Callithrix jacchus: one gene and its partners. The protein of the gene in region 1 binds, or shares a complex with, the protein of each later gene. Links are inferred from orthologs where the notes say so. Each region holds a gene or a part of one and is shown in the gene's direction. Other genes may lie near its edges.

Region 1 (3,500 bases):
TCTCTACAGTATATGTTCTTATTTATAGATATAAAAAATATTTGGAAGGATACATTATGACTTAGTGAAGTAGATTCCCCCAGGAGAACTGGATGGCTAGGGAATGGGTTGGAGGGAGCTTTTTGCTATGCCTTTGAATTCTGACTAAGTTAATGTATAGCCTGTTGGAATACAAGTAAACATAGATCTGCTTAGTTTCTGTGACAAATTGCCTAATACTGCATTAATGTTACAGATTCCAGTTCTCACACCATTTTCATTTGTTAAGTGACCTTGGGCAGGTGATTTAATCTCTGAGTTTGTGTTTTCTTATCTATAAAATGGATATAATACTGCAACTTAATAGGATTCTTACGAGGCTAAAGGCAAAATATATGGCATTGTGACTTGGCATTTAGAGGTTGCATTTAATTTTTTTTTTTTTTTTTGAGTTGGAGTCTCACTCTGTAGTCCAGGCTGGAGTGCAGTGGCATGATCTCTGCTCACTACAACCTCTGCCTCCTGAGTCCATGTTCAAGCGATTCTCCTGCCTCAACCTCGCGAGTACTACCTGGGATTACAGGCACCCACCACTATGCCCAGCTTATTTTTGTATTTTTAGTAGAGATGGGGTTTTACCATGTTGGCCAGGCTGGTCTTGAACTCCTGACCCTGTGATCCACCTGCCTCAGCCTCCCAAAGTGCTGGGATTACAAGTGGGAGCAGTGGTACGATTTCAGCTCACTGCAACCTCCACCTCCCAGGTTCAAGTGATTCTCCTGCCTTAGCCCTCTGAGGAGCTGCGATGAGCCACCTCGCCTGGCCTATTGTTTCTTGCTCTTACTCCACTAGTTCTGCTGTCTTCAACCAGAATTTCCCATACAAATATGTCTGTTGAAGTAACAGTCTCCCAGCTATTTTTCTGTTTTCTGTTTCCTCAGTTTGCTTGCATTCGGTACTCTTGGTGTGCAAGACCTGGAGGCGTGGATTAGGTTTGCTGGCTCAGATTTGCTGCAGCCATGTTCCTGTACAACTTAACCTTGCAGCGAGCCACTGGCATCAGCTTTGCCATTCATGGCAACTTTTCTGGTAAGTTCTTTTGTTAACATCTTTCGAAATTTTAAGTGGATTAGTACATATCTTGCTTAATCTTTTGTGGAGGAAATTTTTCCATTTATGACAAAACAGTTGTTGGTAAATGTAAACAATTCAAATTATGAGATAAGGTGTTAAGTTCTGATGCATTATCTATTACCTATTTCGGGGACATTTCCTAAACACATTGTGTAATGATTCTTGTCTGGGCACACATTTCTTGGCTGCCTACTTAGTGCCAAGTCGTGTGCTTATTGCTGTGAGACATACTGAGATGTGTAAGACCTGATCCTTGATCTTGAATTTGACATCAGGTTGGGTAAAAAGAATGTCTGAAGGTGTTTGTCAGGTTATCAGAGAGTGATTTAAGTTATCATAGAGTGATTTAAGTAAAGGGAAAGTTGGACCTTGGTTTGGTGCTTGAAGAGCTAAAACTTTTGAATGAGAATGGAGAAAGTGCAATTTAGGTAGTGAGTGCTGCCTGCATAGAAACAGGTCATTTGCTTATGTCCATGTCGGGGATATTTTTGTAAAGATGGATTAAAGTCAGGTTTGAATTGTGTGAAATTTCAAATACTGGGTTAAGAAATACATAGTTACCCAAAAAAAGGTACTAATGTTTATAAAATAACTTTTTCTTGCCATTTACAGATTTAACATTTGTGAGTTAATCCAAGTAATGCAGGAGGTTCATGATGGTGTAGAGTATTACATAATTTTGAGGTATAAATCTGAAAACTGAATGTGTGGTAGTGAGCAGCAGCCTAATTGACCACACAGCATTCATATTTCATGTTACTATTTTCTCTGATCCTCATTATGGCTCTTTGTGGGTTTGAGGCTTCATTTGGGTAATTTAGTTATTTGCTGTGTTTGATTAAGGAAATATGCATATGGGAATTTGGAGATTTGTGACTGACTTCATTATATAATGTAATGAATCTCAGCTGGAGTTTGGATAGAATTTTTGAAAGTACATTTTTTTTTTCCTTGAGACGGTGTCTTGCTCTGTCACCCAGGCTGGAGTGCAATGGCACGATCTCGTCTCACTGCAACCACTGCCTCCAGGGTTCAGTTGATTCTCCTGCCTCAGCCTCCTGTGTAGCTGGGATTACAGGTGTGCACCACCACGCCCAGTTAATTTTTTGTATTTTTAGTAGAGGCAGGGTTTCACCATGTTGGCCAGGCTGGTCTTGAACTCCTGACCTCATAATCTGCCCACCTTGGCCTCCCAAAGTACTGGGATTAGAGGCGTGAGCCACTGTGCTTGGTCGTTTATTTATTTATTTGTTTTTAAAGAGACGAGGTCTTGATGTGTTGCCTAGGATGGAGTGCAATGGCAGGATTATAGCTCACTATGTTCTCTAACTCCTGGGTTCCAACTCTCCTCCCAGTAGCCTCCCAAGTAGCTGGGACTAGAGGCATATGTCACACACCTAATTTTTTTTTTTTTTTGAGATGGAGTCTTGCTCTGTTGCCCAGGCTGGATTGTAATGGCACTATCTTGGCTCACTGCAACCTCCTCCTCCCGGGTTCAAGCGATTGTCCTGCCTTAGCCTCCCGAGTAGCTGAGATTACAGGTGCGCGCCACCATGTCTGGCTAATTTTTGTATTTTTGGTAGAGATGGGGTTCACCATGGTGGCCAGGCTGGGTTCTAGTTGTTTATAATCTTTATTTTTTGGTGATCTAGGAACCAAACAACAAGAAATTGTTGTTTCCCGTGGGAAGATCTTGGAGCTGCTTCGCCCAGACCCCAACACTGGCAAAGTACATACCCTGCTCACTGTGGAAGTATTTGGTGTTATCCGGTCACTCATGGCCTTTAGGCTGACAGGTGGCACCAAAGACTACATTGTAGTTGGCAGTGACTCTGGTCGAATTGTTATCTTGGAATACCAGCCATCTAAGAATATGTTTGAGAAGATTCATCAAGAAACCTTTGGCAAGAGTGGCTGCCGTCGTATTGTTCCTGGCCAGTTCTTAGCTGTGGATCCCAAAGGGCGAGCCGTTATGATTAGTGAGTGATTTACTCTACCCGCTGTGCATTCTTGGTTTAGGGTCACAATGCTGTGATCTTGGTGGTGTGCCAGTTAATTACCTATGTGGGTTTGACATATTTGGATTTACTCTAGGTTTAATGTTGCATTACTTTTTAAAAAGAGTTGCATTTTCTTTTAAAACAATGGGAAAAATCTTAACACACCTTTCTACTTCCCATCTAGTTGGAAATTGGTGTTTTCAATTCCTTTGTCTTTGGCCAAAAGACTGCAATGAAATGATATTATGTTATTAGACAGTGAATATAGTTGCTCTCATCAGCCTGAGGTGATGATTCACCTTCATGTCTCTTCTCAGAGAAATTCTTGAAGAAAATTTTGTGTAATCTGATCAGGCCTCTAGAGGGCAGTCCTCTCTGAGCAGTCAC
Region 2 (3,500 bases), on another chromosome or scaffold:
GTATGTGACTGAAGAACCAGAAATTTATGAGCCCAACTTTATCTTCTTTAAGAGGATCTTTGAAGCTTTTAAGGTACAAAAGAGCACACTTGAAAGGGGCAGTGCCAAACAGGGAAGGGGCTCAGAGGTGGGTGAGAGGCAGGGAACAGGCATCTTTTCAGTGCTGGTTTTAGGAACTGGGAAGGGACCCAGATGGCAGGGGTTTCACTTTGTCTGCCTCCTCAGCTCACTGATGACGTGAAGAAGGAGAAGGAGAAGGAGCCAGAGAAACTTGACAAACTGGAGAACTCTGCAGCCCCCAAGAAGAAGGGCTTTGAGGAGGAGCACAAGGACAGTGATGACGACAGCAGTGATGACGAGCAGGTCAGGTCTGGCTGTCCTGGCGGAAAGCAGGGACTCTGGGCACAGGTGGCTGAGAGGCATCCAGAGAGGGACCATGGTGAACTCTTGAAGAGCTTCGGTGGCTTAAGGTTGGGGTGGGTTGGGCAATTTCATTCACATCTGAGTCCTGCTCGAAAGAGGTGATTGTTCCGTTCTAGGAAAAGAAGCCAGAAGCCCCCAAGCTGTCCAAGAAGAAGTTGCGCCGAATGAACCGCTTCACTGTGGCTGAACTTAAGCAGGTGAAACTGAGAGGATCCTGCGGGCCCTGGAGCCCAGCTGGGAGACAACCTGGGAAGCCAGGGAGGTGACAACTTTGAAGGAAGTGTTGTGGGTGATTTGGGTATAGGTCCTTTGAGGAAGAGGAATGGGAAGAAGAGCTTCAAACCTGAGAAGTTGGGGCTTTCAACACACGCATTCCTGTGTGTTTTCCAGCTGGTGGCTCGGCCCGATGTCGTGGAGATGCACGATGTGACAGCGCAGGACCCTAAGCTCTTGGTCCACCTCAAGGCTACTCGGAACTCCGTGCCTGTGCCACGCCACTGGTGTTTTAAGCGCAAGTACCTGCAGGGCAAACGGGGCATTGAGAAGCCTCCCTTCGAGCTGCCAGACTTCATCAAACGCACAGGCATCCAGGAGATGCGAGAGGCCCTGCAGGAGAAGGTGAGGTCCTGGCAGGGCTCACACTTGCCCTCGGGTGTCCCCATCATTCACAGCAGAGTGCTGCAAAATGGGAACCTGGTTTGAAACCCACCTACCACCTACTTGTTACTTGTCTAATTATCCCTTTGTTTTCCTCCTCTGCTTTTCCTCTCCTCTGCCTTCACTTTGCCAGCTCACCTGGTGACTCGTTTCCCAGATGCACTTTGTGGCTACAGATTGATGGTGGTTGTGTAACTTCTTACATTTTTTTTTTAAGAAGGAGTCTTGCTCTGTCACCCAGGCTGGAGTATAGTGGTGCAATCTCCGCTCACTGCAACCTCCACCTCCTGGGTTCAAGCGATTCTCCTGCCTCAGCCTCCCAAGTAGCTGGGACTGCAGGTGTGTGCCACCATGCTTGGCTAATTTTTTTGTATTTTTAGTAGAGATATGGTTTCACCATGTTAGGATGGTCTGGATCTCCTGACCTCGTGATCCACCCGCCTCAGCCTCCCAAAGTGCTGGATTTACAGGTGTGAACCACTGTGCCCAGCTGTAACTTCTTAATTTTAAAGCTTTTAATTAAATGCTTTGGACTCAGGAGGTACAAAAGAGCATGGGGAAGTCTCTGCCTTTCAGAGAACTGATGAGGTTCAGCTTTGGTGAGATGGTTTAATAACTAGTTATTGGTATACACAGCTGAGGCTGATACGGTGTAGTCTATTTTGTTGAGTATGGATAATGTTTTGAAGGGTTTGAGCAGGAACGATCTTGGTGACTTTCAGGGTGACATAATTGAGGCTTCTCTTGATTTCTTTTGGAGCTGGAAGCTGGATTCTCTACATGAATTTGGTGAGTACTTGTTAAAGCTTGTCTTTTGCCATTCTCCACAGGAAGAACAGAAGACCATGAAGTCAAAAATGCGAGAGAAAGTTCGGCCTAAAATGGGCAAGATTGACATTGACTACCAGAAACTACATGATGCCTTCTTCAAGTGGCAGACCAAGCCAAAGCTGACCATCCATGGGGACCTGTACTATGAGGTTTGGGAGGGGGCTGGGAGAGGCCAGTTTGGGCCTTGGGGTTGAGACTGCCTAGGGCTTTTTTTTTTTAAATGGAGTCTCACCCTGTTATTCAGGCTGGAGTGTAGTGGAATGATCTGGGCTCACTGTAACCTCTGCCTCCTGGGCTCAAGCAGTTCTCCCATCTCAGCCCCTCAAGTAGCCAGGACCACAGGCACACCATGCCTGGCCAACTTTTTTAATTTTTGGTAGAGACAGAGTTTCGCTATGTTGTCCAGGTTGGTCTAGAACTCCTGAGCTCAAGCGATCTGCCCACCTCAGCCTCCCAAAATAAACCACTGCACCTGACCCAGGAGGGCTTTTGAAGTGACTACAGTAGTTCCTCAGCCTTAGAATTGCCCATTGACTACCTTCAGATGAGATGGACTTTAAAAATGAGGTCCTTTTTGAAGGAGAGATGCAGACCTGGTGACTTCTTTGTCGGATAGACTTTTCGTATCCTGTCTTTGAAATGATAATAGTTGGTGGTTGTTGGTTTAGGGATGAAGGAGCCAAGGGGAAGATGCTTTTAGGAAACTTAACACTGAGGGTGGTAGACAAGTTGGTATTTTCTGATCCTTGAAATCGTAGTCACCATGATGTCATGGAATTTATGAGGTAGAAGAATTAAATGCAGATTATCCCTTTGAGTGCCCTCATTTTACAGATGAGAAGGCAGGTCCTAACGTTGGCCATGTTCTCACAGTGGGTTATTGACAGCACTGGGAATCTGGGCTTTTCCCCTCCGCCCTGGTTTATATTCCTTCCCCCACTTTGGCCAGGGAAAGAAGTGATGAGAATCAGAGTGGGAGCCAGCTAGCCCTCAGTGGGATTTTCTATCTGATGTGGGTTAGGACTTCTCGCCTTTGTTTTCACATCCTCTTGCGGTTGTGCTCCCACTGAGTGTCTGGGTCTACAATGCAGTATGCTCTGCTTTTCCCTCAGGGGAAGGAGTTTGAGACACGACTGAAGGAGAAGAAGCCAGGAGATCTGTCTGATGAGCTAAGGATTTCCTTGGGGATGCCAGTAGGACCAGTGAGTGTCAGTGGGCTGGGGAAGCAGTGAAGAGGGTGGGGATTGGGGCAGAAGGCAGAGTCAGGGATAGGGTTTGGCAGATGGTATCCTGTTCTCTTTTTCATGCAGAATGCCCACAAGGTCCCTCCCCCATGGCTGATTGCCATGCAGCGATATGGACCACCCCCGTCGTATCCCAACCTGAAAATCCCTGGGCTGAACTCGCCCATCCCTGAGGTGAGCATTGTCATTTTGTTTGTTCAGTTCTGCTGTCTCTGCTTTTGAACTGGAAGGTAATTTTTTTGTTTTCCTTCTCTGACTCCACTACGTGTCTCTTTTTTATTGACACATCATATTTGTCACATACCATGTGTTTCTAGAAAAACAAAGAATGGTTTTTGTTTTTTA
Region 3 (3,947 bases), on another chromosome or scaffold:
TAGGCTGTATTGCTGAGGTGGGTGGATCACCTGAGGTCAGGAGTTCGAGACCAGCCTGGCCGACATGGTGAAGTTCCATCTCTACTAAACATAGAAAACTCAGCTTGGCACAGCAGTGCACACCTGTAATTCCAGCTACTCTGGAGGCTGAGGCAGGAGAATCTTGAACCTGGGAGGCGGAGGTTGCAGTGAACCAAGAGGGTGCCATTACACTCCAGCCTGGGCAACAAGAGTGAAACTCTGTCTCAAAAAAAAAGAGAAGAGCAGAGGCGTGGGGTTGTGGGAAGGGCCCCAGGCAGGGACAGTGCAGCGTGACAGGAAGAGAACATCCCTGTCCCACCCCTGTCCTGGTCCAAACCCCAGGGCCCCTCCCCGGCCCCTGGCCCTCCTCATCCCTTGGTGTGTAGTGAGCTCTGAGGTCGGGGCTACCAGTCCCTGGGCCCGTGTCCCTGGTGCCTGTGCGTGGAGGGCCCCAGCACCATGTCCATCCTGCCCGCAGGGCCCGGCGAGCCGCCAAGGAGGCCAAGGAGGCCCCCGCCCAGCCTGCACCTGAGAAGGTCAAGGTTGAGGTGAAGAAGTTTGTGAAGATCGGCCGCCCCGGCTACAAGGGTGAGTCTGCCGCCTCGTGAATGGGTTTGGGCTCCGGCACGGAAGCCACAGCCCTGAGACCCCGTCCCCGAGCTGCTGTTTGATGGCCTTGGCGGCCATCCTTCACCCGCCTGCAGCGTCTGGCGCTGTGTCTGGGAGCTGTCAGGCTGGACGCGATAAGCACCCATCTCACCCAGTGGCCCCTTCCCCAGCAGAGCCCCAGTCTGTGCCCTCCTTGCCTGGCCGCCTCTGTGCCTGGGGCTCCTGGTATGTGAGTGGCGGCCCCTCTGTGCCTCGCAGTCCAGTGTTGTAGAAGCTTCTGGGAATTCTTGCCAAGCAAGAGTGGAAGTGGGGGTGTGGCGAGCCTGACGCCTCTCTCCCGTTAACCTTGAAACTGGGTTCCACTCGTCTTAGCCTCGGAAGGAAGAGGACGGGGAGCAGCGGCTGTTAGGGGCGGCTCCGTCTGGGACCCTCAGCAGTGGAAATGGTTGCCAGTTCAGAAAGCTGCGATGGAAGATAGAGACGTGTGTCCGCGGGGGGGCGGGAAGGCGGGAAGGCGGGGACGCCCCGTGTGCCCGGCCTCCCGACAGCAGCGTGTAGGGCAGAGGCCCGGGGCAGGTGCGCTGGATGGCGAGGGCAGGTGCAGCTTGAGCTGCAGGCCCCGGCCGGGAGGCCCTGACAGGTCCTGGGCTTGGGCTCAGGGCAGTGGGGAGGCAGGGGGCTTGTGAGTGTGCATGCCGGACACTGCGTGGAGAGAGCCAGGTGGCCTGGCAGGGACTCAGCCCCCACCCCAGCAGCCGTTCCTGGGGTCCAGGCGGCTGAGCGCTCACCCCACACACGTGTGGGCCCTGTTCAGGCAGCCCCACTTGAGTCCCAGAGCAGGGTGCCGAAGGGCCCTTCCTGCCCGGTGACCCTGACTGGCTGGTGGTGTCCCAGCACCCGAGGGTGAAGAGCTCTGAGGATGGGGACAAAGGAGCACCCACCTCGGTCCCTGCCTGAGTGACTCGCAGGTAGCTCAGCCCTGGCGCACCTGTGCCTTCACTATAGCAGCGTCCCAGAGACCAAGAGCACAGGCAGAGTCCAGCGGCTGCCTGGAGGCCCAGGGCCTCCCCCGGGGTCCTGCCCTCTCTCAGTGGGTGGCACTAGCCCGTCCCAGGTCCCTGAGCTTCAGGGAGGACAAGCGGCTGGGACCTGAGAGCCTTCTGTGTTGCAGTGACCAAGCAGAGGGACTCGGAGATGGGCCAGCAGAGCCTCCTCTTCCAGGTGAGCTCAGGGGTCCGGGCGTGGGGGGCGGCCATAGGCGTCCAACAGGCGGCGCTGCCACCCGGCCGTGTCTCTGCAGATTGACTACCCTGAGATCGCCGAGGGCATCATGCCACGCCACCGCTTCATGTCCGCCTACGAGCAGCGGATCGAGCCCCCAGACCGGCGCTGGCAGTACCTGCTGATGGCCGCCGAGCCCTACGAGACCATTGCCTTCAAGGTAGCGTGGCTGCGGATGCCAGGCTGTTGGGGGGGCTTCCCTCAGCCTGTGCCCACACCTGGCCAGGGCGGCCATCAGGAAACTGTAGACAGTGACTGCGCAGGGTGGGCTGGCATTGAGGCCAGCTCCGTTTCACTCCAGAGTGAACCCTGTGTCAGGAGGGTTGTGTCAGGCCGGGGCCTTCCCATGGGCTCCCAGGGTGTGGTCCGGGCCGGGGAGGCTGGGCCTCGGGATGGGTTGAGCTCCCTGCCTGATGGCGGCCCTGAGGTCGCAGGGATCAGGAAGGAGCCCTCTGTCCCCTGCCCTCCCAGGTGCCGAGCAGAGAGATCGACAAGGCGGAGGGCAAGTTCTGGACGCACTGGAACCGGGAGACCAAGCAGGTTAGTGGCTGGCCTGGTCACCTTGACTCCCGCCCACTGGGGCCCTGGCAGCCCAGTCCCCAGCCGCACCTGCTGAGCCTTCTTCGTCTCTAGTTCTTTCTCCAGTTCCACTTTAAGATGGAGAAGCCCCCGGCTCCGCCCAGCCTCCCTGCCGGGCCTCCTGGGGTGAAGCGGCCTCCACCCCCGCTGATGAACGGTCTGCCCCCTCGGCCACCGCTGCCCGAGTCTTTGCCACCACCCCCACCAGGAGGCCTGCCTCTGCCACCCATGCCCCCCACAGGGCCTGCGCCCTCAGGGCCCCCAGGACCACCTCAACTGCCCCCGCCAGCTCCAGGGGTCCACCCCCCGGCCCCAGTGGTGCACCCCCCCACATCTGGGGTCCATCCCCCAGCTCCTGGGGTCCATCCCCCAGCTCCTGGCGTCCATCCCCCAGCCCCTGTGGTGCACCCACCAACCTCTGGGGTCCATCCCCCAGGCCCTGTGGTCCACCCTCCAGCCCCCGGGGTTCACCCACCTGCCCCCGGGGTTCACCCACCAGCCCCCGGAGTCCACCCACCAGCCCCGGGGGTCCACCCTCCCCCAGCAGCAGTTCACCCCCAGGCCCCAGGGGTGCACCCAGCAGCCCCGGCCGTTCACCCTCAGGCCCCGGGGGTGCACCCACCAGCCCCGGGGGTGCACCCACCAGCCCCAGGGATGCACCCTCAGGCCCCAGGGGTCCACCCCCAACCTCCCGGGGTCCATCCATCAGCTCCTGGGGTCCACCCTCAGCCTCCTGGAGTTCACCCCTCAAATCCTGGGGTACACCCCCCAACTCCCATGCCCCCAATGCTGAGGCCCCCACTCCCCTCTGAAGGCCCAGGGAACATACCTCCCCCTCCCCCAGCCAACTGAGAAGCTGCTCCCTTCCCAGCAAGCCCGGCCCAGGTGCTCCTGCCTTTCCCAGGGAGGGAAGGCTGCTCTTTGTAACTGTCCCCACTCATTAAACCGCCTCCCCCAGCCCTGAGTGCCCGGATTCTGCAGCGCCGCCCTCCGTGTGAATGCCGTGTGGGAGTGCCAGGCAGGGCACCATCCCAAGTTTGGGCGACTGGGGAGGGCTTGGGGCCCACCAGGAGACACCCATGGGAGCCTGAGAGGCAGCTGTGCCCTGGAGGTGGCCTGGTGGAGGACAGACCCCACCAGTCGGCTAGGAGTATGTCTGGGGTCATGTCCTGGGGAAGGAAGAGCAGCCTCCAGGATACCCTTGTGGTCTCCAGATAGCCCAGTAGGGGTGGGGAGGGTGAACCGGACAGGGAGCCCCTGCCCTTGGGGTCTCCAGATAGCCCACTAGGGGTGGGGAGGGTGAACAGGGGACAGGGAGCCCCTGCTGACTTGGGACCCTCCTCGACGCCCAGCACCCGGGACATCTGGTTCCCCACCACCACCACTGTAGTCTGGCTGCACTCCTGTGCCTTCTGGGGACGGGCCCTCAAGGACAGCCTGTTGACACATTAGGCCCA
Region 4 (3,534 bases), on another chromosome or scaffold:
ACAATAGACTTCTGTGGACTTGGGCGTAGATTTTTGTGCTTTTCTTTTCTGCATATATGTGTAGTTTTATGCCTCCTAGATCTGTGTCTCTAGTTCATAGCTGTTAACATTCCAGATCCTTAATGCTGCTGCTTAATAGATAGTGCCACCTTTCTATCCCTCTCCCTCAAACCTATTCTTCCTCTAGTATTCGTTTTTTCCAGGTGCTTAATTCATGAATCTGAGAGCTATGTTTGCTGTGACTGTGGGGAGTATTACCTCACTCTTTTTTTTTTGAGACGGAGTTTCGCTACCCAGGCTGGAGTGCAATGGCGCGATCTCGGCTCACTGCAACCTCCAATTCCTGGGTTTAGGCAATTCTCCTGCCTCAGCCTCCTGAGTAGCTGGGATTACAGGCACACGCCACCATGCCCAGCTAATTTTTTGTATTTGTAGTAGAGACGGGGTTTCACCATGTTGACCAGGATGGTCTCGATCTCTTGACCTCGTGATCCACCCGCCTCGGCCTCCCAAAGTGCTGGGATTACAGGCTTGAGCCACCGTGCCCGGCCTTTACCCCACTCTTAATACTGAGTCTTATTTATGTCAGTGGCATCTCTCCCCATGGCCAGTGCCCCAGTTGAGTCTCATTCCTTCATTTTACACTTAATTTACTGTAGTAATATCCGGCCACTTTGACTCCAGTTTTCACTAACTTTGATCTACTTTCACAGAGTAAGTTTTGTAAAACACAGATGTGCACATGCATGCTCAGAATTCCTCTTTTGCTCCCTTTTACCTACAGAGTAAAACCCAAACTCATTACCATAGCATTCACAGCTCTTTATGGTTTGGCCCCTGCCCCTCATTTCCATAACTGCATTTTGCTCCTGATACTGAGTTACTGGCATATCCTGGAACATACTGTGCTGTTGGAGACACCTGTGATTTTTTTTTTTTTTTTTTTTTTTTTTTTTTGAGACGGAGTTTCGCTCTTGTTACCCAGGCTGGAGTGCAATGGTGCAATCTCGGCTCACCGCAACCTCCGCCTCCTGGGTTCAGGCAATTCTTCTGCCTCAGCCCCTGAGTAGCTGGGATTACAGGCGCGTGCCACCATGCCCAGTTATTTTTTTTTTTATTTTTTATTTTTTTTGTATTTTTAGTAGAGGTGGGGTTTCACCATGTTGACCAGGATGGTCTTGATCTCTTGACCTCGTGATCCACTCACCTCGGCCTCCCAAAGTGCTGGGATTCCAGGCTTGGGCCACCGCGCCTGGCCCAATTTGTGCATGGTAGGCTTTCTGCTTGGGTGCTCTCTTTCCACGATCTTATCCTCCTGAAATATTCGTGCTTTAGAATCAGATCTTTGCTTAGACAGTATGTCCTCTGCTACTTTCTCAAATCCTATCAACAGAGTTATCACTCTGCTTGTTATGTACTTCAGCATTACCATTACAGTGCCTAAGTCACGGAAGAAGCAAGCAAAGACGGTAAGGTCTTGAGTGATTGATTGGTTTGTGCTGTTGGAATGGGGTCAAGGATAGGGCGCACTTTTTACTACCCTTCCTTCCCTCCCTCCCTCCTTCCCTCCTTCCTTCCTTTTTTTTTTTTTTGAGACGGAGTCTCACTCTGTAGCCCAGGCTGGAGTGCAATGGCCTGATCTCGGCTCACTGCAACCTTTGCCTCCCTGGTCCTGGTTCAAGCAGTTCTCCTGCCTCAGCTTCCTGAGCAGCTGGGATTACAGGCATGCACCACCATGCCTAGCTAATTTTTGTATTTGTAGTAGAGACGGGATTTCACCATGTTGGCCAGGCTGGTCTTGAACTCGTGACCTTGTGATCTGCCTGCCTTGGCCTCCCAAAGTGCTGGGATTACAGGCATGAGCCACTGCACCTGGCTGTTTTTTTTTGTTGTTGTTGTTATTTTTTTTGGTGACAGGGTCTCACTCTGTCAACCAGGCTGGAGTGCAGTGGCATAGTCATGGCTCACTGTAGCCTTGGCCTCCGAGGCCCAAGTGATCCTCCCACCTCATCCTCATGAGTAGCTGGGACTATAGGCACTCACCACCATGCCTCGCTAATTAAAAAAAATTTTTTTGACAGATACGGGGTGTTACAATGTTGCTCAGGCTGACCTCAAACTCCTGGGCTCAAGTGATGTTCTCACCTAGGCCTCCCAAAGTGCTGGGATTATTGGCATGAGCCACTGCCCAGCCAGCCTTATTTTCTGGATCCTGTTTTCTATATAGTCCTCTTTCTGATGTCACTTTCTTTCTAATTTTGTTCTCTTCCTTTCTCCATTTTCTTTGCCCTCTTCTCTATCTTTGTCTCTTTTCTTTTTGTGTCTGTTTTATTTTCATAGGGATGACTCAGATGCAGCTGGCACACCATGGCCCTCATGGCTTGGGACATCCCCATGCTGGACCCCCAGGCTCTGGGGGGCAGCCACCGCCCCGACCACCACCTGGAATGCCTCATCCTGGACCTCCTCCAATGGGCATGCCCCCCCGAGGGCCTCCATTCGGATCTCCCATGGGTAAGTCGGCTCTAGCCACCTCCTTCACCTGCACCTAACATGTTCTAACAACTTCCTGTAGGTACACCCCTGTCCCAGGCCCTTACTAACTTTTCTTTCACTTCTTGCAGGTCACCCAGGTCCTATGCCTCCACATGGTATGCGTGGACCTCCTCCACTGATGCCCCCCCATGGATACACTGGCCCTCCACGACCCCCACCCTATGGCTACCAGCGGGGGCCTCTCCCTCCACCCAGACCCACTCCCCGGCCACCAGTTCCCCCTCGAGGCCCGCTTCGGGGCCCTCTCCCTCAGTAAATTCACATTTTCCTTCCTCCTGTTACATCTTCCCAATATCTTTTCGATTCCTTGGACCAATCAGAGATGCTGTAGCTCCTTGGGGCTGAGGCACTAACCTCTTTGAGCACCCCACCCCATTCCCCTTTGTAATGTAACTTTCCACAGGAGGTATTACTTTTTTATGTTGGTTCTGAGTATTTTGCAGATGCACAGAGAAAATAAAACTAAACTCCTTGTGTAGTTGTGGTGTTTGCCTTGACAGCAGTACCTTTTCTCTTTAAGAAGAGATGTCATTAGCCAAGTGTGGCACAGGCCTGTAGTCCCAGCTACTTTGGAGGCTGAGGCAGGAGGATTGCTTGAACCCGGGAAGCAGAGGTTGCAGTGAGTTGAGATCGGGCCACTGTACTCCACCTGGAGTATAAAAATGTCAGAAAAGCTGTCAGAGTATCATGAAAAGAATGGTAAGGAGGAGTAGGAGCAAGGGTGCTTACTCCACATTTTTTTTTGTTTTTTTTTTGAGACCGAGTCTCTGTCACCAAGGTTGGAGTGTACAGGTGCGATCAGAGCTCACTGTGGCCTTACCTCTCAGGCTCAGGTGATCCTCTCATCTCAGCCTCCCAAGTAGCTGGGACCACAGGCATGTGCCACCCAGCTAATTTTTGTATTTGTACAGATGAAGTTTCGCCATGTTGGCTAGGCTGGTCTTCAACTCCTGGGCTCAAGCAATCCCTCTGCCTTAG
Region 5 (3,500 bases), on another chromosome or scaffold:
TAAGAATTAGAGGTTTTTCAAGGGTCTCATTGGAATATTTGTATAACCAGACAGCAGTTGCCCTGGAGAACATTTATTCTGGGGATTTTTTCAGATATTGGGGCCATTTTGCCCCTGCCTTTTATTTTATTTTATTATTTATTTGAGACAAGAGTCTCGCTCTGTTGCCCAGGCTGGAGTGCAGTAGTGCAGTCTTGGCTCACTACAACCTACACTTCCCGGGTTCAAGTGATTCTCATGCCTCAACCTCTCTAGTAGCAGGGATTACAGACGTGCAGCATCACGCTCAGCTAATTTTTGTATTTTTAGTAGAGATGGGGTTTCACCATGTTGTCCAGGCTGGTCTTGAACTCCTGACCTGAAGTGATCTGTCCGCCTCCACCTCCCAAAGTGCTGAGATTATAGGTGTGAGCCACTGCACCCGGCCCCCTGCCCATTATTTTTATTTCAGAAAGTTACCTGACTAGAACTGTGACTGAAATAGTTTGTTGTTGTAAAATCCAGTAATTATTATTATTAGATACTCATCAAAGTATTGTATGAACAACTCATTTTTTTCTCTCTCCAACTCTGAAGCAAAATTTACAGTTTGTTGTTACTGCTTCATTGCCTCAGGCAGCTGGATTGGAGACCTGAGAGGAGAGCTGGGCCATCCCGGATGCGCCATGAGCGAGTTGTCATCATCAAGAATATGTTTCATCCTATGGATTTTGAGGTAGGAAGTGGTGTGCCCACTGATAGAAATGCTGATAGGCTTTCTTTCAAGGGAGCCTGGAGCTTGCCTCACCCCATCTTTGTCATGTCACCTCCTGCGTGTTTGTGCAGTGAGTAGTAAAGGAAGATGGAGCCAAGAGGCTACTTCAGTTTTTTTTTTAATTTCTCTTCCCTTTGTTTAGCCCAGTGTTGTTTTAAAGTATATCCCAGATAAGAGTGTTTAATAACCGTACTGCACCCCAGCTACTTGGTATGGGAAATCACTGAAAAATACCATCATTAAAAGATTTATGGGAACTGCTTGTGAATTTTGAGTGCAGTTCAACAAGTGTGGACTGATTTTGGTGGGGAGTACCAGCTTCACAATTGTAAATGCAGACTTCAGTTTAATATTAAAAGTTATAATGCTTAATGTCCCTGTAAAATTCCAATAACAGCAAGTAAAAGTGAATGATTAAAATAGTATTTTAATCATTTTCTTAAAATGATTTTAAAAAGTGAATGGAACTGCCCTTCCTCCCCTCAAAAAACTGAATGAAGGAAGAACAAAGAACTACTTAAGGAGTTCTAAGGAATATTGTCATCAAAGTACCTTTATTTTTTTATTTTTATTTTTATTTTTTTTGAGACGGAGTTTCGCTCTTGTTACCCAGGCTGGAGTGCAATGGAGCGATCTCGGCTCACCGCAACCTCCGCCTCCTGGGTTCAGACAATTCTCCTGCCTCAGCCTCCTGAGTAGCTGGGATTACAGGCACGCGCCACCATGGCCCAGCTAATTTTTTGTATTTTTAGTAGAGATGGGGTTTCACGAAGTTGACCAGGACGGTGTCGATCTCTTGACCTCGTGGTCCACCCTCCTCGGCCTCCCAAAGTGCTGGGATTACAGGCTTGAGCCACCTTTATTTCAGAAAGTTTTCTGACTGTAACTGTGACTGAAATGCAGTTTGTTGTAAAATTCAATAAGTATCATTAATAAATAACAAAGTATTGTATGAACAACTTTTTTTTCTCTCTCCCACAAGTCTGAAGCAAAATGTACAGTTTGTTGTTACATTCTGCCTCTATTCTCTTCTCTGTCTACTGGTGTGGAGCAACTTTATTGTATAGTGGAGAAACAACTATTCTCTCCCTGGTTCTGAAAGTAGTGATAGCAAGTTATACAGAAAGCAGGTTAGGCTGGGCGCGGTGGCTCATGCCTCTAAACCCAGCTACTTGGGAGGCTGAGGTGTGAGGATCACTTGAGTCCAGGAGGCAGAGGTTGCAATGAGCTGAGATCATGCCACTGCACTCCACTCAAGCCTGGGCGACAGAGCGAGACTCTGTCTCAAAAAAGAAAAACTCAGATACAAAGGTACATTTTCTCACTGTATGCCAGCACTGTTCAATAGAAATATAACATGAGCCACATGTGTAATTTACATTTTTGTGTAGCCACAATAAAAATATAACATGAAATGGGAAATTATTTTTAATAATGAATTTTATTTAACCCAGAACATCCTAACTATAATTTCAACATGTAATGTAGATAAAAGTGTTAGTGAGCTATGTTACATTGCTTTTTGTTTCATTTGGTACCAAGTCTTCACAATATGGTGTACATTTCACGTATATAGGACGCCTCAGTTTGGACTAGCCACATGCAGTTAGTGGCCACCATCTTGGACAGCACAAGTTTAGATTGCCAAGGAATGAGAAACATGGTTTATTTCTTCCAAAAAAAATTAATGAGAGTTGACTGCAGAAGGTTCCAATGCCTGAGTCTGATTTTAGTCTTAGATTGCTTGGAAAGTTTTGTCTTTTTAAAATGACCACATGTGTAGCTAGGTAGATTAAAAAATCTCCCTAAAGGAGATCACTCCCTTTAAGCTTCAGGGTACTATATAGCAATGAAGATCTGTTAGGTTTTCAGGCTGCTATAAATGGAAACAAGGGTTTGAGAAGACTTTGGCTAAGATTTGATAATATAAGAAAACCACTGAGGCCAGGCTCAGTGGCTCACGCCTATAATCCCAGCACTTTGGGAGGCCGAGGCGGGTGAATCACCTGAGGTTAGGAGTTTGAGACCAGCCTGGCCAACATGGTGAAACCTGTCTCTACTAAAACACAAAAATTAGCTGGGTGGCGTGCGCCTGTAATCCTAGCTACTTGGGAGGCTGAGGCAGAAGAATCTGTTAAACCTGGGAGGCAGAGTCTGCAGTGAGCCAAGATTGCGCCATTGCACTCCAGCTTGGGCAACTGAGCAAGACCCCGTCTTCAAAAACAGAAAGAAAAGAAAAGCACTAAGATACTGGTATAGAAATAAAGGTAATGCCTACCCCCACCATGGAATCACACTTAAAAGTTGTTAAACATGTTGAAACAGTTTTTGTTTTGTTTTGTTTTTTGAGATGGAGTCTTGCTATGTCGCCCAGGCTGCAGTGCAGTGGCACAATCTCAGCTCACCAAAACCTCCGTCTCCCAGGTTCGAATGATTCTCCTGCCTCACCCTCCTGAGTAGCTGGGATTAGAGTCACCTGCCACCTTGCCTAGCTAATTTTTGAATTTTTGGTAGAGACGGGTTTCACCATGTTGGTGAGGCTGGTCTCAAACTCCTGACCTCGTAATCTGCCTGCCTCGGCCCCCAAAGTACTGGGATTACAGGCGTGAGCCACCACACCTGGCCTTTTTTGTTTTTAATATAGTCTGATTTTCTTGGTGAATAAAAGATACTAGAAACAGTTTATCAAATTCTTAAAAAGATTTTTTTGAATGTTGGCTATGTACAAAAGGCTGTGCTGTTTTCT
Region 6 (3,500 bases), on another chromosome or scaffold:
AGTCCTCCTACCTCAGCCTCCTGAGTCAGTGGGATTATAGGTGCAAGCCATTGTGCCCAGCTTGATAAATATTATTATCACTGAGTGTGGAAGCTGAGGAAGAGAGAGGAGCTCCAGCTTTCTAGCGTGGATGACTGGTTAGCTACTCCTGAGGAAAGAGGTTAGAGACGAAAGTGCCCAGGAGTCAGCTGGACCCAAAGCTGTTCGGTACACAGGAGTGTTCTGGGACATTAATTTGGGCCAGATGGTTTAGCCTATAGGCACTAGGGGGAAATGGAGGACACTGGAAACAGAAGAGAACCAAGAACAGAATTGGGCGGGGCTGGGGGTAGTGGGAATCACCAACTTTATAGAGCAGGAGGTGAAACGGGGGCTAGGGAGGAAACTTGAATGGAATGATGAGAAAGAAGGGAGGAACAGAAGAACGGGGCCTGGGAGTTGAGAGTGTTGTGAAGGAGTGGTCACCATTCATGCCCAGATAGTGGCGGTGGATGGCTGTGAGCAGTTGTTTTTGACTTTGTCAAGAGCACTTAAAATGAGTGGGGACCAAATGTCAGGTGAGGAAGTGAGACTAGCAAGACTGAAGAGAACTCAGGATGTTTAGCTGCCAGAGGAAGGGGTGGGAGAGGGCAGTGGCAGAAAGGAACATGAAGTTAGAGGAGAAACTTCATTTTTCTAAGATAAGAGACGACCCTTTGTTCGCTAAGGGAAAGAAGCTGCTGGAGAAAATACTGGAACTTATGGGATAGTTAATGCTGAGCATTTCAGTGGAGGGTCACAAAACCTTTGTGCATTGAATGGTGGTTAAGGTGTGGAACAGAGGCAGAGAGAGAGGGCATTCAGGGCAGAAGAAGCTGTCAGCAAATTATTTTCCATTTCTTTATTCAGCAAACAGTCATTAAAAATTCCATGCCAAGCCCAGCACTGGGTGCAGGGTTACAGACAAGGCCTGGATTCTGCAATGGTTTCTCAGGATGTAGTCTGAGTCCCTGCATCTGAATCACCTGGGCATTTGGTAAAAATGCAGATTCCTGGTCTCACTGAGACAGTTCAGCTAGAGAAGAGCCAGGGAAGCTACTCCTTACCCTGGGTCCCCAGGAGCATCCCTTGCAGGTGCAGTGAACTTAACAGCTTTTCTGAAGCAGAGGGTCCTAACCAGAGGGAAGTCTGAGTGAAAGTCTACCCTGACTGATGTCCTAGAGGAGTTTCACAGTGGAGAACCTGTGCCGAACCAGGGACTTGAAAACCTTCTTTCTTTTCCTGTTTTCATAGCCCATGGAAGAGGAAGCGTCTTCAAAGGAGGATTCTGCACCTTCTAAACCAGTTGTGGGGATTATTTACCCTCCTCCAGAGGTCAGAAATATTGTTGACAAGACTGCCAGCTTTGTGGCCAGGTAATGGAGCTACTTGGGTGGGTCAGAGATGGGTTTCAGCATGAAGAGGTTTCAGTGCTGAATCAGCACAAGGGTTTTTAAAGACTTGGGCCTTTTAGTTCATAAAAAAACCACAACATGGGAGTGGATTGGGCAGGACTGGTGTCCCTGACACAGCACAGCGATGGCCAGAGTGAGAGTCACACTTAGCCCCTGCTAAGTGTCACCAGGAGCCTCTGCTTCCAAAACTGGCCTGAGGAAATGTCTGGAGAGCTACTTCGTCACAGATGGTGTGCGTCTGTGCCTGAGCTGCTGGCCTGAGGAAGATAAAAAGGAGAATGTGTGCAAGGCCACATTCCAAGAATGACCCATCTGCAGAATGGAACAAAATGCCATCTCAGAGTTGTTTATTGTGAGACAGAAGCGAGGTCATGGGACCGCATGCCAGTGCTAGCTGTCTTCTCAGATGGAATGGGAATTGCTCCGAGTTCCTCCTGTCTCTCCCCACTGTACTTATACTCACATCCTTAGATGGAATTTTTTTAATGGCCCCTCGACTCCAAAGGTCAGTACATCCTCTAGGGTATTTAAGGTATTCCTTTGGCGGCCCTCAGGTCATGTCCAGCCTACAGATGTTTTGCTTGTCCTCACAGTAATTTTTTCAATATTCAAATTTGTTGCCACTATTTAAAAATGAGGAGGCCAGGTGCTGTGGCTCTTCCCTTAATCTTAGCACTTTGGGAGGCCAAGGTGGGAAGATCACTTGAGCCCCAGCAGTTTAAGACCAGCCTGGGCAACATAGCGAGATCCTGTCTACAAAAAATAAGAAGTTGTTTGGCTGTGGTGGCATGGGCCACCACATGGTCCTAGCTACTCAGAACGCTGAGGCAAGAGGATCAGTTGAGCCCAAAAAGTTGAGGCTGTAGTGAGCCATGGACTCCAGCCTGGGCAGCAGTGAAACCCTATTTCAAAAAAAACAAAACAAGTAAAAATGAGATTTCACAATCAATATGGATTTCTGGACAGCTCCTTCGTGTGTGGAAGCAGGTTCAGGCAGAGTATGTGCTCTCCAGGGACCCAACGTCACTCCCCTGAGGCAGTGCCTCAGTCAGTATAATCATTTAACGGTGTTCCTTCCTTTCCCAATCTGATGAAATTAAACATAAAGATCAATAAAGATTACTTTGGTTAGACCTTCTTGCCTTTTTTTTTTTTTTTTTTTTTTTTTTTTTGAGACGGAGTCTTGCTCTGTCACCAGGCTGGAGTGCAGTGGCGTGATCTCAGCTCACTGCAGTCTCCACCTCCTGGGTTTAAGCGATTCTCCTGCCTCAGCCTCCCAAGTAGCTGAGATTACAGGCACGCACCACCACACCTGGTTAATTTTTGTATTTTTAGTAGATACGGGGTTTTACCATGTTGGCCCGGATGGTCTCAATCCCTTGACCTTGTGATCCGCCTGCCTGGGCCTCCCAGAGTGCTGGGATTACAGGCATGAGCCACTGCACCCAGCCTACTTTGCTTAGACTTTCGCTGTGGCAGATCTGCAGATTCATCTCATTACATTTCAGCGGCTTTGATTAACCTGGGTATTAGGTTGAAAGCTGCTCCGTGCTTGATTGAACATTATGATGATGATGGTGATTGGGTCATGTCAGATTTAAATGGTAAAGTGTGTGTTTAAGATAAATGTTTAATGGCTCTTAGCAATGTCATGCTTCCCCTTTTCCCCTGATATTTTAAAAGCAGAATATACAGAAAAGAGGTGTTGGGTTAAAAATCACCATATTCTCATTACCAGAATAGTTTCTGCCAGCTGTTTTCACTTTTTTCTGTTTCCTTCTGTCCTTGACATCCTTTTTTAGATCCTTGTAATATTAGCAAAGATACTTTCACATTTCACTCTGTGTTTCTGCCACCACACTCAGCTAATTTATTTTTTTATTTTTTGTAAAGATGGGGTCTTTCTGTGTTGCTCAGGTTGGTCTTTAACTCCTGGCCTCAAGTGATCTTCATGCCTTGGCCACCCAAATTGCTGCCATTACAGGCATGACCACTGCACCTGTCCTGTTCCCAGTATTTCATTTTGGCAAATGAAGCTGTGGGGAAATCTCTGAATATTTTCTTTCC
Region 7 (3,500 bases), on another chromosome or scaffold:
GCTAGGAGTTAGAGAGCAGCCTGGCCAACATGACAAAACACCATCTATACTATAATGTGAAAATTAGCCATCTTGGTTGTGTGTGCCTGTTAGTCCCAGATACTCAGGGGCTGAGGCAGGAGAATCACTTGAACCCAGGAGTCAAAGGTAACAGTGAACTGATATCATACCACTGCACTCCAGCCTGAGTTGGAGTGAGACTGTCTGAAAAAACAACCAAAATTTGCCTGAATATGAGCCATATAAGCTACACATAATAGATAAAACTCCATCCTCATCCCGTAGTTTTGTTTTTGAGACCGTCTTACTCTCACTCAGTCTGGAATACAGTGGTGTGATCTCGGCTTACTACAACCTCCACCCCCTGGGAGTCAAGTAATTCTGCTTCAGCTTCCAGAGTAGCTGGGACTACAGGCATGTGCCACCACGCCTGGCTAATTTTTTAATTTTTAGTAGAGACTGGGTTTCACCGTTTTGGCCAGGCAGGCCTCGAACTCCTCACCTCAGGTAATCCACCCGCCTTGGCCTCCCAAAGTGCTGGGATTACAGGCATGACCATCATGCCCAGCCCTCAGTCTGTAGTTTCTAAGGTTCTTATCCTGGACTTGAACGAGTAGGAGTCCAAGTGCCCTTTTAAATTGTACACAAGGCTGGGCATGGTGGCTCATATCTGTAATCCCAACACTTTGGGAGGCCAAGGGTCAGGAGTTTGAGACCATCCTGACCAACATGGTGAAACCCCATCTTTACTAAAAATAAGAAAATTAGCCAGGCATAGTAGCATACACCTGTAATCCCAGCTACTAAGGAGGCTGAGGCAGGAGAATCGCTTGGACCTGGGAGGTGGAGGTTGTAGTGAGCCAAGATTGTGCCACTGCACTCCAGCCTCAGTGACAGAACAAAACTGCATCTCAAAAAAAAAAACAAAACAAAAAAAAAAACTGTACACAAAATTATGTGTATATATGCTTTTTTTTTTTTTTTTTTTTTTTGGAAAAAGGGGATATCACCCCCTCTCTCCCTAATAGTGGCTAAAAAGTTACTGCAATCTAATTAATAACAGTAATCTTTGGTTTATGACATGCAAGCACCTATATGATTCTGATACACTTACATAAAGGAATATCACCGAAGTCCTGGACAGTTATTTTAAATTCACTGATTTTTTTTAAAGCTAAGAATACTTTTTAGGGAAAGAGAATTTGTAATGTTGCAAAATGAAGCAGTAATAATAGTATGTCTGAACCTCAAAATGGCTAGAATCAACTTTTGGAAGTGGACAATACCTAGTCTGGCAAAAATAATGAAGACCAACTTACCCTTTTGTTTATTGAGCTCCTGATCTTGATTCCTAATAGGCAGCGACTAGAATTAAAGAGGGTGAATAATATTTGGAATGACATGGGACTGTTATTTTCAGATAATTTGGTCTTTCTGAAGCTGTAACAGTACCAATAAATTGTTTTGCTCCCTGGACAGGCTTGAGAAGGAGAAAGCAGAAATTGAACGCATGCGAAACCTGACTGAGGAAGAGAGAAGAGCTGAGCTTCGGGCAAATGGCAAAGTTATTACCAACAAAGCTGTTAAGGGCAAATATAAGTTCTTACAGAAGTATTATCACAGGGGTGCCTTCTTCATGGTAAGAAGTGAGAAGAGAGTCCAAAAATTGGGCAGTAGGAATAACTCAGATACTGAATTATTTTTTCTCCTCAAGAATGTTATTTTCACTTGCCAGTGGTCAGCTTTCTCATTTGCTGTTTCCCTCTGAAGAATATAAACTCAGAGAAAAGCATCATCAGTAATTGGATTATAGAAGTGTAATCAACTCTCTTTTGGCCCCAGCTCTCAAAAAGAGGAAATGATGTAATAGACATATATTTTTTTTTTTACGAGACAAAGTCTTGCTGTCACCCAGGCTGGGATACAGTGATATGATTATAGTTCACTGCAACCTTGACCTCCTGGGCTCAAACTATGCACCTGCTTTAGCCTCCAGAGTAGCTGAGACTATAGGCATGCACCACCATGCCTGGCTAATTTTTCTTTTTGCTAATTGCTAGTTTTTCAATTTTTTGCAGAGACCAGGTCTCACTATATGTTGCCCAGGCTGATCTTGACCTTTGGGCCTCAAGCAATCCTCCCACCACAACCTCCCAAAGTACTAGGATTACAGGCATGCGCCATCATCCCCAGCCTTAGATAAACTGAGGAAATGAAATGGAGAAGTGATCTATATAGATAGTGGACTAATTAGGTCCTCCAAATCACATAGTTGTTATTATTTCATACCTGAATAAGAAGTTTTGGGTATGTGAAAACCAAACTGCAAATAGCTTTACATTAATTCACATTTGGGTGGTAAAAGGTTCACTTCATTCTGAACTGACAAAGTACCTAAGCATAACTAACCAAAAGAATGGTTTATTATCTAACCATTAGGTGGAGTGCCATCTTTGTTCTTCACGTAAAGTCTAAAGTCAAAATACCAATCTGCTAACCCTGTATGGTTTATGATTTTGTCATGTTAAAGCAGTTTGTATCAAAAACTAGACGAGCTTTTTCAACTGTTTAGCAAATTCTAAATATCCCCACCGCAACTAAATTCCTGCCCTTCACTTTAGATGTGAGTTTAAAGTCCCAATAAAATATCCAGCTTATATAAAAGGCAGTAGAAAATCCAGGATTGGAGATTGGAGAGGCCTGTGCAGAGCTGAAGTCACATGAGTAAATGAACACATTGAGTGCAGAGAGAATAAGCCAACCTTTGAGTCATGTCTATATTCAAGGAGAAAATCAGGCATAGTTGCGTGCACCTGTAGTCCCAGCTACTCAGGAGGCTGAAGTAAGAGCATCACCTGATCCTGGGCGGTCAAGGCTGCAGTGAGCAGTGATCACACCACTGCACTCCAGCCTGGACATCAGAATGAGACCCCCCCCCGTCTCAGGGAAAAAAAATTAAAGATAATACAACAAAGGAAAAAGAATCTCTTCAACTAGATGTAAGCTCTTGAAGAAAGACTCAATACCCTCTGCTTTCTTTGTATCCTTCATTGTAAAGTATGTTTGTGGTTTGAATATATAGGAAATAAAGCCACTAGACTGATAAGATTCTTCTCTACAGGATGAGGATGAAGAAGTATACAAGAGAGATTTCAGCGCTCCTACCCTGGAGGATCATTTCAACAAGACCATTCTTCCTAAAGTCATGCAGGTATGGGGAACCTTAATAACATGAAAAAGTAATGTATTGACAGATGAGGTATGGTTTGATGGTGTAACCATCCTACATCTTCCCTCAGGTCAAGAACTTTGGACGCTCAGGTCGCACCAAATATACTCACCTTGTGGATCAAGATACCACTTCCTTCGACTCAGCTTGGGGCCAAGAGAGTGCCCAGAACACAAAGTTCTTCAAACAAAAGGCAGCTGGGGTACGAGATGTATTTGAACGGCCATCTGCCAAGAAGCGGAAAACTACCTAGGGTAGTTTTGCTTATTCT

What was found.
Region 2: SF3B3 (region 1) and SF3B2 share a complex: the UniProt entries of both Homo sapiens proteins name them as parts of the SF3B subcomplex of the 17S U2 SnRNP complex. The link is inferred for Callithrix jacchus from reciprocal best matches to the Homo sapiens genes SF3B3 and SF3B2.
Region 3: SF3B3 (region 1) and SF3A2 share a complex: the UniProt entries of both Homo sapiens proteins name them as parts of the 17S U2 SnRNP complex. The link is inferred for Callithrix jacchus from reciprocal best matches to the Homo sapiens genes SF3B3 and SF3A2.
Region 4: SF3B3 (region 1) and SF3B4 share a complex: the UniProt entries of both Homo sapiens proteins name them as parts of the SF3B subcomplex of the 17S U2 SnRNP complex. The link is inferred for Callithrix jacchus from reciprocal best matches to the Homo sapiens genes SF3B3 and SF3B4.
Region 5: SF3B3 (region 1) and HTATSF1 share a complex: the UniProt entries of both Homo sapiens proteins name them as parts of the 17S U2 SnRNP complex. The link is inferred for Callithrix jacchus from reciprocal best matches to the Homo sapiens genes SF3B3 and HTATSF1.
Region 6: SF3B3 (region 1) and SF3A1 share a complex: the UniProt entries of both Homo sapiens proteins name them as parts of the 17S U2 SnRNP complex. The link is inferred for Callithrix jacchus from reciprocal best matches to the Homo sapiens genes SF3B3 and SF3A1.
Region 7: SF3B3 (region 1) and MFAP1 share a complex: the UniProt entries of both Homo sapiens proteins name them as parts of the spliceosome B complex. The link is inferred for Callithrix jacchus from reciprocal best matches to the Homo sapiens genes SF3B3 and MFAP1.

What each region holds. Positions count from the first base shown.
Region 1 is NC_133521.1:31,393,470-31,396,969, reverse strand, and holds part of SF3B3 (splicing factor 3B subunit 3), read left to right. Parts: intron 1-920; 5' UTR 921-998; coding exon 999-1,068; intron 1,069-2,765; coding exon 2,766-3,092; intron 3,093-3,391; exon of another isoform or gene 3,392-3,471; intron 3,472-3,500. UniProt on the Homo sapiens protein: Component of the 17S U2 SnRNP complex of the spliceosome, a large ribonucleoprotein complex that removes introns from transcribed pre-mRNAs.
Region 2 is NC_133511.1:123,134,727-123,138,226, forward strand, and holds part of SF3B2 (splicing factor 3B subunit 2), read left to right. Parts: coding exon 1-73; intron 74-225; coding exon 226-363; intron 364-539; coding exon 540-620; intron 621-813; coding exon 814-1,041; intron 1,042-1,910; coding exon 1,911-2,060; intron 2,061-3,023; coding exon 3,024-3,113; intron 3,114-3,221; coding exon 3,222-3,329; intron 3,330-3,500. UniProt on the Homo sapiens protein: Component of the 17S U2 SnRNP complex of the spliceosome, a large ribonucleoprotein complex that removes introns from transcribed pre-mRNAs.
Region 3 is NC_133523.1:2,127,978-2,131,924, forward strand, and holds the end of SF3A2 (splicing factor 3A subunit 2), read left to right. Parts: intron 1-499; coding exon 500-609; intron 610-1,801; coding exon 1,802-1,851; intron 1,852-1,930; coding exon 1,931-2,071; intron 2,072-2,382; coding exon 2,383-2,451; intron 2,452-2,544; coding exon 2,545-3,342; 3' UTR 3,343-3,447; downstream 3,448-3,947. UniProt on the Homo sapiens protein: Component of the 17S U2 SnRNP complex of the spliceosome, a large ribonucleoprotein complex that removes introns from transcribed pre-mRNAs.
Region 4 is NC_133519.1:9,855,995-9,859,528, reverse strand, and holds the end of SF3B4 (splicing factor 3B subunit 4), read left to right. Parts: intron 1-2,340; coding exon 2,341-2,514; intron 2,515-2,624; coding exon 2,625-2,812; 3' UTR 2,813-3,034; downstream 3,035-3,534. UniProt on the Homo sapiens protein: Component of the 17S U2 SnRNP complex of the spliceosome, a large ribonucleoprotein complex that removes introns from transcribed pre-mRNAs.
Region 5 is NC_133524.1:133,302,477-133,305,976, forward strand, and holds part of HTATSF1 (17S U2 SnRNP complex component HTATSF1), read left to right. Parts: intron 1-615; coding exon 616-715; intron 716-3,500. UniProt on the Homo sapiens protein: Component of the 17S U2 SnRNP complex of the spliceosome, a large ribonucleoprotein complex that removes introns from transcribed pre-mRNAs.
Region 6 is NC_133502.1:200,951,707-200,955,206, reverse strand, and holds part of SF3A1 (splicing factor 3A subunit 1), read left to right. Parts: intron 1-1,272; coding exon 1,273-1,394; intron 1,395-3,500. UniProt on the Homo sapiens protein: Component of the 17S U2 SnRNP complex of the spliceosome, a large ribonucleoprotein complex that removes introns from transcribed pre-mRNAs.
Region 7 is NC_133509.1:31,470,290-31,473,789, reverse strand, and holds part of MFAP1 (microfibrillar-associated protein 1), read left to right. Parts: intron 1-1,479; coding exon 1,480-1,639; intron 1,640-3,121; coding exon 3,122-3,211; intron 3,212-3,299; coding exon 3,300-3,482; 3' UTR 3,483-3,500. UniProt on the Homo sapiens protein: Involved in pre-mRNA splicing as a component of the spliceosome.